Linked DNA regions of Drosophila melanogaster. The protein of the gene in region 1 interacts with the protein of each later gene in a pairwise test. Each region holds a gene or a part of one and is shown on either strand. Other genes may lie near its edges. The genes, in order: CG14625, CG6424, Cfp1 and Hr39.

The links.
Region 2: the proteins of CG14625 (region 1) and CG6424 interact in a two-hybrid assay, tested with the Drosophila melanogaster proteins (one large-scale study listed by BioGRID).
Region 3: the proteins of CG14625 (region 1) and Cfp1 interact in a two-hybrid assay, tested with the Drosophila melanogaster proteins (one large-scale study listed by BioGRID).
Region 4: the proteins of CG14625 (region 1) and Hr39 interact in a two-hybrid assay, tested with the Drosophila melanogaster proteins (one large-scale study listed by BioGRID).

Annotation. Positions count from the first base shown.
Region 1 is NC_004354.4:1,197,868-1,203,661, reverse strand, and holds CG14625 (uncharacterized protein), read right to left. Parts: upstream 4,117-5,794; 5' UTR 4,045-4,116; coding exon 3,991-4,044; intron 3,038-3,990; coding exon 2,815-3,037; intron 2,735-2,814; coding exon 741-2,734; 3' UTR 505-740; downstream 1-504.
Region 2 is NT_033778.4:17,716,316-17,721,206, reverse strand, and holds the start of CG6424 (uncharacterized protein), read left to right. Parts: upstream 1-1,860; 5' UTR 1,861-2,033; intron 2,034-3,457; 5' UTR 3,458-4,477; coding exon of another isoform or gene 4,478-4,525; 5' UTR 4,526-4,891.
Region 3 is NC_004354.4:9,269,913-9,274,508, reverse strand, and holds Cfp1 (CXXC finger protein 1), read left to right. Parts: upstream 1-1,548; 5' UTR 1,549-1,619; coding exon 1,620-1,843; intron 1,844-1,905; coding exon 1,906-2,593; intron 2,594-2,654; coding exon 2,655-3,734; 3' UTR 3,735-4,075; downstream 4,076-4,596. Other genes in the region: aladin, read right to left, coding at 1-195, 253-537, 598-995. UniProt on the Drosophila melanogaster protein: Component of the SET1 complex that specifically di- and trimethylates 'Lys-4' of histone H3. Essential for Set1 association with chromatin and trimethylation of histone H3 at 'Lys-4' at transcription puffs.
Region 4 is NT_033779.5:21,235,365-21,240,265, reverse strand, and holds the start of Hr39 (hormone receptor-like in 39), read right to left. Parts: upstream 3,017-4,901; 5' UTR 2,862-3,016; exon of another isoform or gene 2,846-2,861; intron 1,986-2,845; 5' UTR 1,701-1,985; intron 1-1,700.

The DNA.
Region 1 (5,794 bases):
GTCCAAATCTCACGTAACAACACATTTGACACTCTTTTCTGCCATTTACAACAGATTCTTACCCGTACAACTTGTGTTCCTATATAAAACCAGAATGCAAATGCGGTGGATGTACTTCCACCAAGAGAAAGAGTTAAATTGCAAAAGAGGAGGCACTTTTACTGTGACTTACCCAATCCGAGGCTGAATCTCTGGATGTTTCAATCAGTTCGTTCATTGGGTGGATGTGGGCGGCTGCCTTATAATTGTGCGCTAAAATTATTAATTACATCACACACACACACACTCAAACACTCACACCCACACATAGAGCGAAGAAATGAGACGAATAAAAATCGAAACTAAAAAAAAAAAACTGATCAACAGAGGCGGCATTCGCACTTTTCCAAGCAGTTCGAATTTTTGGATAGATATAGAAAATCTAGTTCATGGGGCTATCATGATAATGGAATGAAGTCTTGAGCTATTTAAAAATGTCAATGGATAAGCGATAGTTTTTATTTTAAGTTATTTCATTAATTTGTTTATTGGCGTAATTTGTTATCGTCTGTTTTAGTTGGCTACCACTTCAGCAGTTGGTGGCCATACAATAAATAATCGTACTTACACTTAGATTCTACAAAAAAAAGACAATAGCATATACAATGAAGCATGCTCGAAATTCTGGCATAAAATAAGCTATGAGGGTGGTGGTGGAGTTTTGCGGCTTATTCGATTGATTAATCGAGGGATGGGGTTTACTATTTGGGCGGTGGCCTCAGAGCCAAACTGGCTTCCAAGTCCTTGACCTCCGATGAGCGCAGTTGCTTCTTAATCGCCTCTTGTCTGGGATGACCGCCTCCCCCCCGCTTGCCGCGCTTTCCAGCTCCGGTCCCCGTGTTACTGCCTATGCCAGCCACGCCCCCCGACCCGGCACCGCCTGCTGGTTGACCTCTGACCTTGTACGTGTGCTGATAGCCGTAGCCCTCGGGATTGTTGTTGAACTTCGGACTGTAGCTGTCGTATTCAAGACTCGGGTGCTTGTTGCTGTTGCTGTGCGAGTGGGCGTGGCCATGGGTGTGCTGGTGGGCGTGGCCGTGCGCGTGGGACAACCAGGGCTCATGATCATCTAGTAGGGTTTCCTTCTTCAGCACATAATGATAGGGATAGCCTTCTTCGTTAAGGATTAGTTTTGATTCATTCTCAGTCTCTGCTTCCGGCTCGGCAAAGTAACCGGATGAGGAGTAGCCTTTGTAGTCCGGATGCAGTTCCCCGGATGACCCGGAAGCCTTGAGCTTGTGGCGATATTCCTGCAGAGCTGCCTCTTTACTTTTGTAGGGCAAGGCATTGATGTCATGATAGATTTCCGAATTGAAATACAACTTGTGCTGCTTGCCAGAGTTTGTAAGCCTCTCCTGATCTTCCCGAGAATCACGCTCCCTTTCCCTTTCCCTTTCCCGCTCCCGTTCCACTCGATCTGGAGTGGGAACTACGTGGGATAGATCGAATTCTTCGATGTTCTTGAGGGCCGCACTGTGGTCAAAGTGCTCGGCACTTTTCAGAGGCAAAGTGTAGGGCTTCGAAACCGTCTTCACTGTGGCCGTTTGCAGGGGAGCTCGGGTCTTGATTTTGTAAATAAACTCCACATTCGGACTCAGTTCGTCGACGGGCAAATCGGGGGCCTGATATGCCGTTTCCGTTTCGGACTGAAAGTGCTGAATGGGCTTTGAATTCGTTATTGCCAATGAAGAGCCCCTCAGTTTTCCGGCTATTTGGTGGCTGTGGTGCTGTGGGTGGAGCACCTGCTGCTGGTGGTGATGCAACTGTTGTTGTTTTGTCGTTGGTGGGACCGTATACTTGGGCCTCACTGTACTGCTGCTGTAACGCTTTTCCTCCGAGTGTGAATGCGAGTGCGACGAGGGAATGGAACCGGAATGGAGACCAGATGAGAGCGTCTGCGACTTGTAGTAGGTCTTGGTAATCGGCGGAGGCGGTGGTGGTGGAGGAGGCGTGGCCGTCTCTTGGGGCGTACTTATGATTTTACCTTCGGCCTCTAGTTCCTTCATGTACTTGATCACGGACTTTTCAATCTGTTTCATTATCTCCGATTTGGGAATTTCCGTGGAGGCAGAGACCCTGACTTTTTCCTCGGCCTCGGCCTCGAGATTTCTGTAAATTTGCGGCGGTTGATAGGGGGCGTAGATGTTGTTGTAGTTATTGCTGTACTTGGGACGATAGTGGCGTTCGATGTCTTGCTCTTGGGCCTGGACATGGGACTCGTCCTCGGTTGCGTGTTCGTAGAGTTCATAGCTCCGGGTCACGGGTTCCTTTTCGTAGACTGGCGCAGGCGCTAGGGCGGGCGACGGCGGAGAAGAGGAGGACGACGATCCAGACGAGGATGGCGACGAGGGTCCTGAGGACAGGAGCAGGGCCTGCTGATGCAGTTCCTTCTGCAATTGCATCTCCAGGATCTCCCTATCCCTTCTCTGTTCCTGGTAACTTCTCTGGGTGGTAGGTTGCTGTTCCTTTTGCGCCTGGATGTGGTTGTTGCTAGGGTTCTGAACTTGGCTTTGACCTCGCAGTTGAGTCGGTGGCTGTTTGTAGGCCAACTTGATGGCATTGGCCACATACTCGGCTGCCGATTTAGAGTCTTCTAGGTTGACATACGCTCCGGATCCGGATTCTGCGGTCTGCTTTGGATGCGATTCGTGCTCTGGGCGAACGAGATTTAATTCCACCTGGCCAAAGCTGTAATCTGGGAAGTATACAATGCATGTCGATTGCGGATTAGTGCATACTTTTAGGCTTGCCAAACAAAATGGGACGGTTTATTACCTTTGCTGGGCGCCTCCTTTAATCTGCTTTGTGTAACCGATCCCCGCCTGGAGTAACCACGATCGTCGGAGCCCCTACGGCTAGCTGCCATAGCCAGTTGATCGGGAAAGGCCTTCTCCCCAGTCACCTCCAAAGAGGACACCGCTCCTGAACCTCCCGATCGACGGCGACTGTTCCCAGACGTGCCTGAGGTCACAGTCACGGCACTGCAAAGCGTCGACATCTGTTCAGAGAAATTAGAAAGAATCACAGCTATTTGAAAATTACATAATCGGAGATTCGCATGGCTTACAATAAAAACCGTACATTAAAATAAAATGAGTAAAACGATAGGACAAACAAGGAACCTTGGCCAACTGATGAGTGTGCCATTTCAACGGGTGCTAGTTAGGCGAACTGCCTTAAATTGGCCTCTTCGTTTCAGACTCATTGGCTTGTGCCTACTTCGCAATTAAACTAATTAAACTCCGCCAATTCGCTTTCGCTTTCAAGGAGGAGAAGAGAAAGAAAAGGAGAAGGAGGAGGCGGTTGATAGTCAATTTCTGTATGATTGAGTTGGCGGCGCTCAGTTGGCCAAGTTCAATGGACCGTTTTCCAGAGGAGAGGGCAATGACACACCGGCATGAAAAACCCGCAGCACGCAATTGCGAATCGCCAAATGGATCCTTTTCGATCGAAATGGGAAAAGAATTTGGCGATTATGTATCAAAAACGTAATTCTCAGTCATTCGGGACATATTTTCCCAAAAAGGCTAATCTTTTTGGTCTTTGTTTAAAAATTTGGTGTTATGTTCCGAAATGTAATTTTAGCGGGATAAGCTTCAGCAGTTCATTACTGAAGATTCAAATATTAATGTTTTTAAAAAGTTTTAATTGAGTATTTTTACATATTTTTTTCACTTATTTTCGTTTTTTATCGTAAGATACATTTATATATATTTTTTTACATATTTATTTATATTTTTTACAAATTTATCACTCTTCTTCACTGAATTATTAAATAAAAAAAATCTCATTTTCAAATGGGCTGTTTTTTTACTTCTGGAGATTCTCTCGAGTCCAACATTTATGAATTTTCAAATACATCACTACACTTTGGATCACTGGCCACCAAAAAAAAAGGTACTCCTCGTGAATCGAATTATCCGAATCCTTGGACGTGAGCGCACTACTTACGATGATCAGCAGACACAGGCACCATTGCCGCCGGCTGAGAATGTTTGCTCCCATATGGACAAGGTGGTGCTCCTGATATTGAAGATTACGGAATCGAGATGTGAGCGCTGACATCATGGCGCGCCAGAGTCTCAGCTGGAATTGTTAGCGGCCAGCTGTCGAGGCGAGGCTTTTATAATGATGCGAACCGCTGCAGCGGAAAATTTATGCGAATGTGCGCGCCAAAGAAAAGCGAGAAAAGTGCAAGTGCAAGCGAAGAGAGAGAGACAGTTGGAGATAGAGAAGGGGAGAAAGATCGCTTCACTTTCGATGACAATTCGAATCGTAATAAGCCATCGACGCACAACACGGCGTATGCGTGATAAGTTCGCCCATTATAAGTCGATAAGGTGCAACAGAGAAGGCGATAGGCCAGCACGAAAGAGAGAGGACAACGGGACAACTGGTTTATAGTTTTTAGTTTCTTGGCTTCAGTTTCGGCCTCTGTTTAAGCTGCCACTTTGATGGCCAATTAAGCCATAAGCTAAGCCAAACAATCCCCATTCCACCACAGGCAGTTCAATGAAATGTTTGCCGGCACAGGTGGGTAATACCCGTAATTGACTTGTAAAATCCTCGCCACCGAAGGCATTTATTGGGTTAAACGACAAATAGTGGACAACGGGCAGTAGTCACTAACCCACTCTGGAGTGGAGTCCGGAAAGCAGCAGGACTTTTGCAAGTCCAATGACTCGACAGGGAGCCTTTAGCACCCTTTAAATTAAACTTGAAACAAATCCATTAACACTAGATCTGTCTTATTTTATGTATTCTTAAATTTCCCCATTTGCTGTATTCTCACAGTGTTTACATTGCGGGCAGTCGGTGGTTGGTCGTGGCAGATCTTCACTCGGTGGTTGGCTTCATGGTCACTGATTCAGTGCATAATAATTAACAAGGAGCCCAGACAAACGGAGAAAAGTGTTCGCTGATTTATGATGATTTTACCGAAAGAGCAGCAGCAATTGCCGTTGCCGAAAACCAACAGCGATGATTTCAATTTCGATAAAGAGATCCGGACTTAGAGAACTGGGAGTACGCCTTGGAATAACTTGCCAATTGGCATTTCATTGATTTCCCTTACGTGCTGGCCGGGGATTTCTTTATTGCGGACTATGGCGCTGGCCCACAGGGCGTATGATTTATATTTTAATATTCTGCATGAGAAGCGAAAAACGAAACTGAAACTGAAAATGAAACAATTGCCACACTTAACACTAACGATAATAGCCGTAATAATAAAAGCGAAACAACTTTGCAGCGGCTAAAGCAAAGCAAAACAAAGCTGGCAAAGCGTTTCGGCTCCTCCACATATGTGCAGATCAACAACCTTGTCAGCAGTCGAGTGCGATTGCCATAGGTACATAGATACATATAGCCATGGCTATCCATGCCCCGTTATGCGGCCAAAAACTGCAGAAACTACCAAATCCACTACCAGCTGCCAGCTGCCAAAGAAACAGCTGTGGCAGCCGCACCAGATGAACAGTCTCAATACCAATTGATTTGCCAAGGATTGGGTTTTTAATTCAATTTAACTAATTCAATCAAAGATTTAACTGCGGCTTGAAATGTATCGTAAATGTATTTAAGTTCTTCATCTCATACATCTTCATACACCGATCAGCATTTATTTATTTCTTTAACTTTCCTATTGCCTTTGCTGCACTGTGGCAGCTGCAACGCTTCGACAATGCTGAAAAATGTTATGTTTGTGGATCGGATTGCTTACATCTTTCATCTCCCACCCTGCCACACATTGTAA
Region 2 (4,891 bases), on another chromosome or scaffold:
AATGATGCAACAAAAGTGGTGAAATGCAAACTCCACGACCTTGTGGATGATTTATTTCATAAACGTACATATGTGCATACATATGTCGATTATTATCCTCGCATTTAGCACATCCGTTGAATTTCACCAAAGGACTCTTTATCATTCAAAAAATTAACCCTCTGGAATTTCCACTTATTAAAATAATCACTTTTATTTTCCACATAAATTTAACGCAAATTAAAAAGGGAAGCAAAGCATTTGGAGTCTCATGATTTAGTTAATACGTTTATTTAATAACTAATACTGTATAGTTTTTCTTAAGATTGCACTTTCAATCGGCCAAGGAATTTGCTATTTCATCACACCATTTCCATTTCAAAAATTGTGTAATGTAGTTGGCGAGAAAAGTGAAAAGGGGGGTTGGAAAAATGCAGGGGCGGTGGATAATAGAGAAATCAACCATATTTTGGCTCGAAAATACTAAATGCACGTATTTCGATTTCGCTAAAAATGTTCAGCCATTGGCAAATATCCAAAATGTATACAGATTTTAAAGAGGGATTATTATGTGCATACAGAGGTGCATATGTATATATGTACATACGTATATATATATTAGCTCAAGCACTTGGCCTGGTCAAGGAATGGATAAGTGAAAGTTTCTGGGGGAAGACTACGACTCGGGAATCACAAAATGCGCAATAAGAGCTGTCTTACAAGTCCATAAAAGTTCCAAATCCCTTTTATGTTCGTGCCCAAGCATCATTTCCGGATTTCACTATCCGCTGCTCGCCTGCAACATTGGCAAATGGCACGTATACGGATACTTACACTGAGAAAAATTACACTAACTTCAAAAAGTAAATGTTTATAATATGAATACACATAGAAGCGTAGCATTAACGTGTAGGTGGGAGATGTAGGGTAGTGTTTTGTTCTTGCTTTTGTTTTTTTTTAATATATAACAAACGCAAAACAACCACCAAAAAATCACCATCGTTTCTGAGAATTGATTTGGTCCTGGAAGTTATTTGAAATGATATACTGTAGATGATTTTATTTCTAGGCCTGAACAGGCTTCGATAAGATGTTAAGATACGAAAGTAAATTAGAGAGAGAGTTTGTGAGTGCGACACGGAAAGAGATCGTTAAAAAATACTCTAAAAGATCACCAAGGATCAAAGGAACATTTTAACTCCATTTAAAAACTCTCACCGGATAACAACGGTTGAATGTGGTATATGGTAAAAAATAAAAAACACTTTATGCACTTTATGAAAGAATGCACTTTTTTTTAAGTTTCGGAAACATTCCTATAGGACCATTATCTATACTTTTATCTCACTGCATGGCGCTATAAAAGAGCAGGAGCTCCAAAGGATGTTAGCGAACGGCTGGCAGAGGCAGTGCTCTAAGTGTGCGTTCAAGGACGTGCATGCATTATGGTCGAGCATTCCGCAGCGAATCGAGGCATTAAGCCGTGAAATGCGACCAGGGGCCAAAGGCAAAGGCCCTATCGCCTGAAAAGCCGAGGGAAGTGTTAACGCTGCGTATGTGCGATATTTAATTATCGCGCGGGGGCGTGACCAAAGGGGCGTAGGTGTGCCGTTGCAGCCACGTCCTTGCCTACTTTTCGGAGAGGCGTGAGGGATAGAGAGCGCGAGCGTTGGGGAGAGCAGCTCCACGAACGAAGGGTAGCCGAGAGCAGACGAAGTCACACGAAGCCTGTCGCTTTCATTCAGTAGAAAACGAACTCTCATCCCTCCCACTGCCCCTATCCAACCACCCATATGTCCATTTCCACCGGATGATTTGGCGCTCTCTCCCCTCTTTTGGACTACGCTGCTTTAAGCACGTGCGCCCGTTAGTTTTCCGCTCATTCGATGTTGGTTTCTCGTCCGGTGTGGTTCACAATTTTTCTTTCTGTCGCACTGTTCGCACTTCCTCTATCCGTGTATGTGTTCATGTGCGTGTGAGTGAGTGTGGGAAAGTCAGCAGCAACAACAAATACCCAGGAGAGCGAGAGAGCAGAAAGATCCGCCGAAAATTAGGTAAATAGCGGGCACAAATGTTGCAACTGGTTAAAGGGGTAAGGCGCTTTAAAGCTGCACTCGAAGAAAGAAGTATAGATACGGTCGTTGATTTTACTTCAAATTACATTCATAAATAATGTAAATTAGATAAAATTAAAATTAATTATTGAGATACTGCGAATAAGCCTAATGTATGTATATTAAATAGATTTTATTAAATGTCTGAGTTAACAACTTTTTACTTAATCGAACGTTTTTAATTTTCATGTCATCCCCTTGTTGTATTGATATATGTATTTATCTTCGCTTTATTCGTTCCTTGTCAGTGTATAACTTTACAACATCCAATTTGGGATTATTGCACCTGGGTCGATTGCATCTAGGACTTGTGAGAGAGGAATTACGGAGTCTGCCAATTTTGTAATGTTTTTGGTAATGCAGGGATCCTTTACGACTTTTTTGATTTTTTTGCGAGCGCACACACAACAGAGCGTGTTTTCATTTCAATGTTTACATTTTTTCGGTTTCTGTTTTGATTTTATTTATTTTCCTTTCCCGAAATAAAGCAGAACATATAATTTTTTTTTTGTTTTCGAATTTTGTCTGCGACGTCAAAGACATTTTAATGTCCAAATATATAGTCGTATATATTATATGTATATCGCTTTTAAAGCAAATGGAGAAAATTTCGCATGTTTATTTTGTTATATTTTAAGGCACGCAACATATCCATCTGGGGTTAAGTGCCAGACATCATCAATCAATTAGTCATTTGATGGCGATATTAACAGGCTAGGCATTATACATACATATGTATATTTATGTTCATGATGGCATCGATATACATAGGATAATCCATGGAACAGGTTGATTAAGTGCGTATTTTCCTCAACGCTGCAGGTTTCGGTTGATTTATTGCGATACCAAAGGAATAGAGTAACTATTTAGTTCTCACCTTAGTATTGCTTTTTCAAAAATTGTTGTAAAATAATAATATATACCCTTCCTTGTTTTACTGCATTACCAGAGAATTTCCAGAAAACACAATCTGTTGCCTTTCCGTTGTTTTCGTTTCATTTGCATAATCAAATTTTGTTTATGATTCGCAGCCGCATCAATTTAAATGCAAATCTGCAACTGGCCAATTGCAGAAACTATTTTACTTCATACCAACCCCCGCCCCCTTGGTCATGCCTCCTCGCGTTGGGAATTTCTCGAAAGTTCTCGAGGGCTCATTGGGGGAATAAGAACTTGACACCCGTAAATTATTGAGCACTACCCCTTTCTCCTCTTTTCCAAACGTAAATTGCATCCAATTGGTTTTGATTGCTCAATCTGATGCCGCACTTGTTGGTGCTATTTTTGCATGCTTAGATTGCACAATCGGGGTTTGAAGAATCAAAGGTTTTCACGCGAGTCCTAATTGACTTTTCTATTTTCAGCTATGGATAAACAGAATGCAAAAATGTATGCAATTGCCGTCATAAGTTCGCTCATTGAGATTCGCAATTGAAATTCACTTTACCGAAATGAAAATGAACCAAATGAGCATTTAGTCAAGTGAGAGCGAGCGAGAGAGATGCGCCGCCAAGTTAACCGTTTCATGTGCAACGTCATCGTCATCTGAAGAGTACCGCCGTAGGAAAAGTAAAGAGAGCGCGCGAGCGCATTACGCCCTTGTTTACACGCCCATTTCACAACTCCCCCGAAAGGAAACATCATCCAAGGACCTCCTAAGGACGCATATAAGACCGCTATTTGGATAATTAATGCAAAGGAATCCGAATTAAAAACTTCAGCGATAAAAGAGTCTGCGCAAAGAGAGAGCGCACAGAGCGAAAGAAGGGGAGAAAAGAAAAAGATAAAGAGAGCGAGAGCGAGCGCCGCTTCGGTGGGCTCCAAAAATCACATCGTGCAGGTCCCATTTGGAAAAATTGCGTCTCGCGACACAACGTGCGTCCAAGTCAGCGGAAAGTTTTTCGATTCGCGGCCCGGTTATTGAATTTGTATATGCGTTTGTGCGTTGAAAAACTCCAGTTTCTGTAGTTATTTGTCATTGTCGTTGTCAATCGACAACCATAAGCTAACCCATTAACCAATTTTATCTAGTGCGACCAGTGTTAAATATCGATTTTTTCGGCTAATGCGCGTCGATGACCTCGCACACAACAACAACAGCAACAATTGAGAGCTAAAGCTGCAAGTACACGCAGAGAAACAACAAAAACGAAATAAAAGCACTCAAAAGCTGTGTCTAAGTTTTTAAAGTAAGCCAAACAACACAAACGTTTTACATAATTGCCCCAGTGCCAAAAGCGGCAGCCACAACAAAAACAACGAAGAAGAAAACAACGGCGTTGCAAGGGGGAAAACTCTCGATTGAAAGAAGAAGCAGAGGAGGCAGAACAAGAAGGCGGAGAAGACTACCCGAAAAGAGCGGCAGCCGAAAACCGCAAAGACACATGCTCAGATACCGTCTCGTGTCCACTCACTTCCTCAAGCAGCCGTAGTGTGCGAGCGAGCGAGACAGCCACACCCGTAGAGGGGGGACCGAGAACGAGCACGAGAGCGAGAGAGTGTGGGTGTAACTGCGAATGCACTTGCAACTGCAATTGAGAGAGAGAGAGTGACAGCGAGAGCGAGCGATCGCAGGATACGATTGTGCTATAAAAGTGCGACAGGTGCGCTCTACCTGCCCATTCACCGTTAGTCGTCGTCGGTAACTCATTTAGTTGTCGAGAGTTCCTCTTTACATCCCAGAAAGAGGCAGGATCAAGGAGCGTACTAAAGAAAAGGGGAGGAAACTCAAACTCGCCAGCGAGAAAGAGAGAGAGAGAGAGGGAATTCACATCCGATCCGGCACTAAAATCCATTCA
Region 3 (4,596 bases), 8.1 Mb from region 1:
ACGGTGGCTGCGAACAGCCAGTCATTATCCGGCGACCACTTCAGCAGCGAGCCCGGCGGACCCAAACGCTTGAGTGGCTGCATCATTCCGGTGTCCGGCTGCCAGATAATAATGGAACGATCTCCTATTGAGGCGGTGGCCAACTGGGTGCCATCCTTGTTCCACTGCATCGAGGTTATTGGCAGATTGTTTGGGCTAAAAGGGAAAATAAGTTATGTATTTACCAACTAACGATAAATTTTCTATACTGACTATTTAAAAATCTCGCTGGGTGCATTTGTGCGTCCCAAATGCAAAGTGCTGTCCACTTCCCAGAAACACAGACCCTGCCGACAACCTATCACGATCTCGGAAGCGCAGAGTGGACGCCACGCCATGCAGGTGATCTGCGTTTGGGATGGACTCTTTAAAACAGTGGCAGTGGTCGCACTGGAACTCTTTGTGTAGATGCGCACCACATCGTCTACACCGGCTACGGCTAAGCAAAAGAAGTGCTGATTCCAGGCAAGATAGCGCACATCGCTGTTGAGCCAATCCCTGAATGAATGGGACAGTAAGGTTTAGGTATTATTGGTCAGTTGGCTGCGCCCCACCCACCTGGTCTCCACGAACTGAGCAATACGCTCTGCACTAAGCTGCTGGGTGTGCGGGAGGATCCTCAGGCCGGTGGCCAGGCCCAGAAATTGTGCGATTAAATCACCCGCCTGGGCAATAAGCGGCGCCTGCTCCCTGGTCTCTGGGCTGCGTGCCTCCTCCAGCGTCTTCCAGAATCCGCCATTAAAGAAGCTGCGAGCTATGCGCTTTAGGACACCCTCATTCACAGATACGAAGCTCTGTCCGCCGTAGTACCGCTGACCAGCCGGATTGGCCAGAAGTTCGCTGTTCAGGTTTATCTGCGGATAGCGTTCCAGCTCTGGGATGTGATTGTGCCGCAGCGCCAGATCCGGCAGCGTGGAGAACGGCGGACACTGTTTTAGGTTGCTCAGGGCCGCCATAATTGCAGACTATTCACATTCAATTCAGTTCAGTTGAGAAAAAATGGTAACGAAATACAAAGAAAAAACCGCGCGGTTATTAGAGGTGAGAAAAAGCCGACAATGTCAGTGGTAATTCGATGCTTAATTTTTCTATCGATGTTTAATTTTACGAAACTTCGAAAATACTGGGCCGCGGCAAAATCTTAAAGATTATCGAAAAATAAAAATTAGGTATATATAAAGTAACAATCTTTTGTAGGTTTTATATTCACGTTGTTTCTCTTTCAAGAACTCTATTTAATCTCATAGATCTCGAACACACTATCGTTTGTTATTAAGACTATGGAATTAGTTCTCTCGATATAAGTGTTACGAAGCATTTTATATTTATACACAGCTTACAATAAATACCTAAAATTGTTTTTATTGTATAGTCATACATCAATTAAAATCTACAACGTAGTTTTATGCTAAATATTATATATTTTATTAGGCCAGAACCTATCGATTGTCTGCAATACATTATTAGTAGGCTATCGATATCCTTTCATTCACCATCTCCATCGCAAAAAAAAATTCCATGAAACTTAATTGACGGATTTGGATTTGGACTGGATTTGTTGTCGGAAAGATTGCTGCGAGATGACGGACAAGCGCAAATATAAGAAGACCGTAAGTTTCACCCGCTGCACGGCAATCATATTTTTAACTACAAAGGAGGTTTCCAAACAGAAAGAGGAAATCAGGCGGGAGATCGCACGGGAATTTGATTTGCCTGAGCGCAAGTCCAAGATAGCCACCATTCTAAAGCAGGAAGACCAAGCGTACTGCATATGCCGCTCCTCCGACTGCTCCAGGTTCATGATGTGAGTTGAATGGCCTTAAAGGGCTAGATCCCGGCTAACTACTTGTACCCTTCGCTTTCCAGAGGCTGCGATGGTTGCGAGGAGTGGTACCACGGCGACTGTATAGGGATCACCGAGAAGGAGGCTAAACACATCAAACAGTACTACTGCCGGCGCTGCAAAAAGGAGAATCCCGAACTACAAACCATATTCCGCCTGGTGGCCACCGAACGGGCAGCCGCATCGAACGCCGCCTCTACAAGTCTCAATGCCCCGGGCGTAGGTCCATCGGGAGCTGCGCCTGCTGCTGCACCGGTGGCGTCCGCAACAACCAGCCAGCAAGCGCCGCCACCGACCACTGCGGCAGCGAAGCGCAAAAACAGCAGCGCCCGAGAACCAAAGATGGGCAAACGTTGTGGTACCTGTGAGGGATGCCGGCGTCCCAATTGCAACCAGTGCGACGCGTGCCGCGTTCGCGTGGGCCACAAGCCGCGCTGCATATTCCGCACCTGCGTTGTCCAGGCGGCGACGGTCTTAAAGGAGTCGCAGGCAACTCAAGCCGGCCCAAGTAGGAAGCGGGAAAAGGCGGCACCCAAGAGTCGCAATGTCCAAGTGGGCCCGCGGGCGGCCAGTCCGGAGATATTCCTCAATCCGGAGCTACAAGGCATCCGGCAGTGCTACGGACCCAATTGCTGCTCCCATGCGAGACCGCAGAGCAAGTACTGCAGCGATAAGTGTGGCTTCAATCTGGCCACAAAACGCATCTTCCAGGTTAGTTTCATTTTTTGGCCAGACTATGACAATTAAACACCAAAGTCCTTTACACTCTCAGGTTCTGCCGCAACGACTGCAAGAGTGGAATCTAACGCCCAGCCGCGCCGCCGAGGAAACACGCAAGCATCTTGATAACATTCGTCATAAGCAGTCCCTGGTGCGTTTCGCACTTGCCGAGCTAGAGAAGCGCTCCGAAGAGCTCAACATGGTGGTGGAGCGAGCCAAACGAAGCTCCATTGATACATTGGGGTCACAAGACACCGCCGACATGGAGGACGAACAGAGCATGTACTGCATCACCTGTGGCCACGAGATTCACTCGCGCACTGCCATCAAGCATATGGAGAAGTGCTTCAACAAATACGAATCGCAGGCCAGCTTCGGGAGCATATTCAAAACGCGAATGGAGGGAAACAATATGTTTTGTGATTTCTACAATCCGGCAAGTAAGACTTACTGTAAGCGATTGAGAGTATTGTGTCCGGAGCACAGCAAGGATCCGAAGGTGAACGATACGGATGTGTGTGGTTCGCCCTTAGTGAACAACGTCTTCAATCCCACGGGCGAGTTTTGTCGTGCGCCAAAGAAGAATTGCTTCAAGCACTACGCCTGGGAGAAGATCCGGCGTGCTGAGATAGATCTGGAGCGTGTGCGTCAATGGCTCAAGATGGACGACCTGATGGAGCAGGAGCGCGTGATGCGGCAGCAGCTCACCTCGCGAGCGAACCTGCTCGGCCTGATGCTGCACTCCACCTACAACCACGAGGTGATGGACGAGCTGGTGCGCAAACAGCAGGAGCATCTGGTAGAGTTCGAGAAGCAGAGGCGACGCCTGGCTCACCAGCAACAAATACAAACACAGCAGAAACAGTACCAGGAAAAGCAGAAGCTAATGTTGCAGCAACAACAGCAACAGCAACAACAGCAGCAGCAACAACAACAGCAGCAACAACAGCAGCAGCTGCAACAACCACAGCAGCAGCAACAACAGCAGCAGCAACAACAGCAGGAGCAACAGCAACTGCAATTGAAGCCACATCATCTGCAGCAACTTCAACTTCAACTGTTGCAGCAGCAGCAAAAGAAGGCCCAAATACCACAGAAAACTCAAATTATATACCTGCAGAAAAAAACATAGATTTGTAGTCCCCTAATCATAGCAAGAACTAACAATAAACTGACGTCCAAGAAATATTTTTCTACGACAGTAATCTTTGGACTTACCCGACGCAAAGTTTCTAGTGTCGCCTTTCTCCTGGCAACCGCATAACACGCTCGCCAGCTGTTGGGTCCGCTTCCCGGCCAGTAGTAGGTTGCTACGCGCCGGGATCGGCGGTACGCCCATGTTTGTTATTGAAAACTAAGCATCAAATATGCATTTATTGATAGCAACATGCTATTAATACATTAGGCCAGCTCAACCGTGGATATCATTCACATGGATTACATTAGCACACACCTTAATATTAGTTTATTAGCTGGATTCAAGTTATTTATAATTTCTATATACGATTTGTTTTCTGTTCATTGTTAGTTTGTATTTAGAAATAATCTAGAAAATAAGTTAGCATATTAAATACATTTTCTTAAGCTGTAGGCTTTTTTTAATAATGCAGGTTAATATTACTGCATTAAACAAAGTCATGAAAAAAAGAATACTCTACGCTCAACATATTTTGAAGATCATATAGACATAGGCCACCGAGTCCGGGTTTTGATATCCGAAACAATGGTTCCGGGTAAATGAAGAGCGGGGGGCAACCATTGGAAACGGCAGGACCTTGAAAACGATGGAGGCTATGGATTAGAGTGGGCATGCTGTAGTTGGGAGCCAAAAGGAATGTCAGGACGCACAAGTGCAGTGGAAATTTCAAGCGAGTCTGAACGAATCCGGCTACCCGGGCAATCAAGTAGTCGTGGCGATTTGTGACTGTTCCCCCAGACGAACTGTCAAAAATGCCAGTCGTTGTCCGGAACTTTTCTACATCACACACGACCTG
Region 4 (4,901 bases), on another chromosome or scaffold:
CAGCCAGAGTCAAAGCCAGGGAGAGAAACAGCATGTATCAACTTATGTATTGCAAGAGTGGGTGGTGCACTGCCGAGGGAGAGGCACGGATGGCCGAAGTGGGTATCAAGGCGGTTGGAACACCCGAAGGCATATTCGAAAACCGGTTAACAGCTGGCAGCCAACTGACGAACGAGAAATACATCACCGAATGGGCAAATCTCAAAGACTTTACAAGTTACAGATATTAAGGCGTATGGGTCGGGTTAATATAAATATCTGCATGCACAAAAAGAGTTACCAGAAGCAAAATTTTTTTTTGCAGAATTGGAGACCAGGCTTACCACTCAAGCCCGATAATTTATTGCCTTCTTCCACTCATTGCGTTTGTAAGCATGGGCAAATCCCTACATCAGTTGCCAGTTCTTGTAACCGCGTCTCGACGGCAGAATCGACCGCCTTTAGCCAGAGTTATGACCCCGAAAGCTGTAAATTAACCTTTGAGGCCGCGCACATTTAAAAGGAGTTCAAGAACATAAACCAGCGTCCGCAATGTATAATCCGGAGCCAATCAACTTCCAAACTCGCGGTCAACCTTCGGACAGACTGAATCCCAGCTTACGAAATGAGAAGAGTTGAACGGTAAGAAGGCACGGTAAGAACGGCTGATAGACACAAAAACCGCAAGCGACGCAGTCAAAATAATAATGAGCCCGACATTTAAAATGGTTTATGAGACAGCCCCTTCTGCGGCTCCTCGAAAGCACAAGACTTGGCCCAGCCGCAGCCTCATCAGCAGCGTTGTCAGCCGCAGAATTGGCGATTCTTCGATTTTTCTGGGTCAAGCACCACGCGAAAGCAGAAAGAGCTAAAGACTTGGCCCAAGAAATGTGTGGTAGAGGTAGAGTTCAAAACGTGCCTTGGCCGTACTATTCAGACATGCAGTGCCTTCCCACCCTCTTATTCTCCCTGATCGAGACCGTCTCTGTTTCGTTGTCGAAACAATTTCCGGCGGCTGCACCGAGAAAAATATAACGTGTAACGATGATCGAACAATAAAGACAAGCGAATCTATACAGAGTCAATTCGGAAAGCTTTAAGTTTTCTAGAACCGAACATAACACATGTTTAATTAAAGCCTTTATGGCGTCCTTTTTGCGCTTTCAGAGCTCGGTAGAGTTGAATGTCAATGTAATGAGCCAGCCAAGTTCGGGTCATAAAGCCTCTGCCACATGAAAGTAGTTCAAGTACTCAACGGCGCCGTTACATTTCACTGCTTATGAATTGGGAGTCGCCCGGCCAGACAGTCCGCCAGACGACACTGACTTCCCGATGTGTTAATAATTTTGTTTTGATTTCAGGGATTCGAAAAGCCTACTTTGACTCTGTGGAAGGGGATAAGAAAATATAGCGCTTGAATTGGGCCTCTTGGATCTTTAAATTTAAAGGACAAAGGAATATTAAATCACTTAAAAAATGGTAATTTTTACAGCCCCTATATTGTTGTCCTTAAATACAAATGAAATGAAAGCATATGGTTTATACGATTCGCCCAGTTTTCACGATGTTCCTTTTGAAATCACATCAAGTTATGGGATGGACATCATGGACATCAATTATGGGAACATTTTGTTTTTAAGGAAATGAGATCATCTTACCATTTTAAAATACCTAAAAAATTATGGGAACATTTTGTTTTTAAGGAAAGGAGATTATCTTACCATTTAAAAATAACTAAAAGTATTCCAATTGTCCCTTTCTCAGTCTATCAAGATTTTAATGTATTTCCGTTGCTGTGTTGATAAGATTTGTTACCCAAAAGCCAGTTGGGATTTCACGTTTTACTCGTTTTGTTCGACTCACATTCTAGTCACATTTTCATAGAGAATTCGTTTAATTTGCGTGCACATTATGCGTATAACATTTCTTGTGCAATATGTACCCGACTGGAAGCCACTTGATGCCAATCGAGGAAATTATTGCACGACAAATATCGGATTTTTCACCTGTGAATTAATAACGGTAAATTACTCATCCAGCGTCGCGGCGGGCGCACTTGTATGGGTTAACGAGCGAGCAAGCAAGTCAACGAATTCACAATAAAATAAACAAAATGCAGACGCGAAAAATCGACGAAACTTGTTGGAGCTGAAAACGCGGAAACTGTTGCAAGCGAATCGAAACCAGAAAAACTTTTCTGCACACTCTGTCCAATCAGAACAAACACTCGAACTCTTCTCTCCCACACACACTACACCAGCACTCACACGCACAAGTTCTGCTCTTGCACTTGCCTCTTTCTACTGCTTTCTTTGAGTCTTGGGTTTTATTTTACACGACTGCGGCGCTCTTGTTGCGTTTTCCTCACCTTTCGCAGAGTTTATTGACATTTTCAGCGTTCGCTTTGTGCGCTGCTTTCTTCGTGCGCAATCTCTTTTTTCTCTCGCCAGTCTGTTCGCTCTTTCTCTCTTTCCCTTTCTTCTCTCCGCTCACAACACTTGCTTTTTTGTTTACAATGGAACGCTCGCACACACACACTGGTAAACGGGTCACTCACACGCACACAGAATAACCTTCAATTTTATCTTATTGCGCGCGCCCCAGTCACTCGTTATTCTTAAACTTTGCCGAAATTAGGATTTGCTTTGGTTCGCTGCTGCAGCTTTAAATATCAATCAATGTCTTTGCAATGCTGGTGTGGTTAGAAATCCACATTCACCTCGACGCCTCTTCCACACACCCATACACGCAGCCACGGACGACCTTTGCGGTGCGAGCGAGACGACCCGCCACAAAAAACTCCACTTCCGCTCTCTCGTTCACCCGTTGTGCTGACGGCGAAAAGGTTTTCGAATTAAGTACATACATATATTCTTATTCACTTATTCACGGATTTAACTACATATGCCACTGTAGGCGCTACCACTCTTTTTCGCTCACAGCATGAACGGTGTTTTGCGCTCGAATCCGATTCCACAACCGCTCTAGCGATCACACGACGCAACACAGTCCCGCCTGCGACGAAGTAGCAAAATGTTTGTTTTGTTAGTGGAGCTCTCGGTCTGTTAGCGAGCGTTGCCACCTTTCTGCGAGCTGTTGCTGCACACTGCCACTTTACGAACACAGATCTGATAGCGGGACAAAATACGTCAAGGCAGCGACGGTGGGTTACTAGTGAATTTGGAACGGTGGTCTTACGACGTAATGGTCTTTTATATTTTCATTATTTTTTAAATTGTCGCTCATTTACCAATAAACCTTTTTACTTTTTCCTGATAGTCCGAAGTCAGATCAAATAGGAAGTTTCACAAAAAATTTTCATCCAGAGAAAATACGCCGACGCTATTCGAGTTTTTTGTATTCGTTAACCGGGAAAGAATAGTTCGAATTCGTTCGCACTTTATCGATAGTAGATTGCTATTATGGAGCCCACTTGTAAAATAATTTAATTCCAGACTGATAAAAGCGATCAACTTTTGTTAGTGGTTTAAGTCTATGATAATACTTAGTTCAAATTGTTTCAAAGTAGTCGATAATTTATAATAACAGTTTTAGATGACCTCTAGGAAATAACTAATTACCCACATTCTTCAAGAAGTGTTTTCAATTTGTTCTATAATTAAATAACAGTTGTATTAATTATGTAAATATTGTTACTCATAATACAAATTAAACAATATAAACACACATAAATAAGAGAATTGGAATATTTTGTCTCAGATTAGATTTTCCACACGGGAAATTTAAATCACCACGTTTGGTAATATCGTATCGTTTTATCCTAAACGAAACACGCTTATTAATACATAAGCTAATTGTTTTTATACCCGTTACTCGTAGAGTAATAGGGTTTACTAGATTCGTTGAAAAGTATGTAATAGGCAGAAGGAAGCGTTTCCGGCCATATTAAGTATATATTCTTGATCAGGATAAATAGCGGAGTCGAACTGGTCATGTCCGTCTGTCCATATGAACGTCGAGATATCAGGAACTATAAAAGCTAGAAAGGTTGAGCATCGACTCGGCTTAATAAGAATATATTTTATATCTGTTAGACATTTTATCGGATGAATTGTAACAGGTATAATAAACGATTTCTTATATATCGTCAGACATGTGTGTATATTTTGAACGAAACAACTTAAATTAGTTTGTAATGTTATTTTATAAATTCCATCCTAATAAATATTACTGGATTTGCAATGAGTTCCTTAGAACATATTAGTACTCGTGTTTCACTAACCATGTCCATCAAGCTGACACTGCTATGAATGGGTATGTGTGATGGGTATCTGGTGGACAAGCTCTGATCTAAATGGTGTTGTCCATCCCAATAGCACTGACTTGTCTGTAGTCTAAACTGTGAAACACTCCTTTATTACTGAATTCTAGATAAATGTACATACATATGTATACTACGGAGTGGTTGCGAAATCAGAGGCAATCAGATATTGAAGCAAGTTCAAGTGACATACAATGGAATTGGTCGTGTATAGCCGCCTATAAAGACATTAATAGACGACCCCAAAGCTCTCATTTAAGCTTAGCTTTAGTTTTCGGTAGATACAACTTATTAGTGTCAGAGATATTGAGCTTTGGTCGGCCACTGCATTTACATTATTTATTGCGTAATATTTAAATTGATAAATTGCGCATATATGCTAATGCTAAGTCTTCAATCCATATGTTATATTGTATTTTCACGCATTTTTAGATGAAGAAAACATTCTTGACTCGGATCGACTACGATCCACATTGGCATATGTTTGCCGTGCATAATATGGGTATTCTCCATTTAAATGTCTTTGGATGTGGTTAGCTAATTGGTTAATTAAGTGAGACCGCGGGCAGAAAATATCGACGAAAATACATTTTTGTGCAAGACAAGCCAAGCCACGTTTCTCATTTCGAATCGTGGTTGC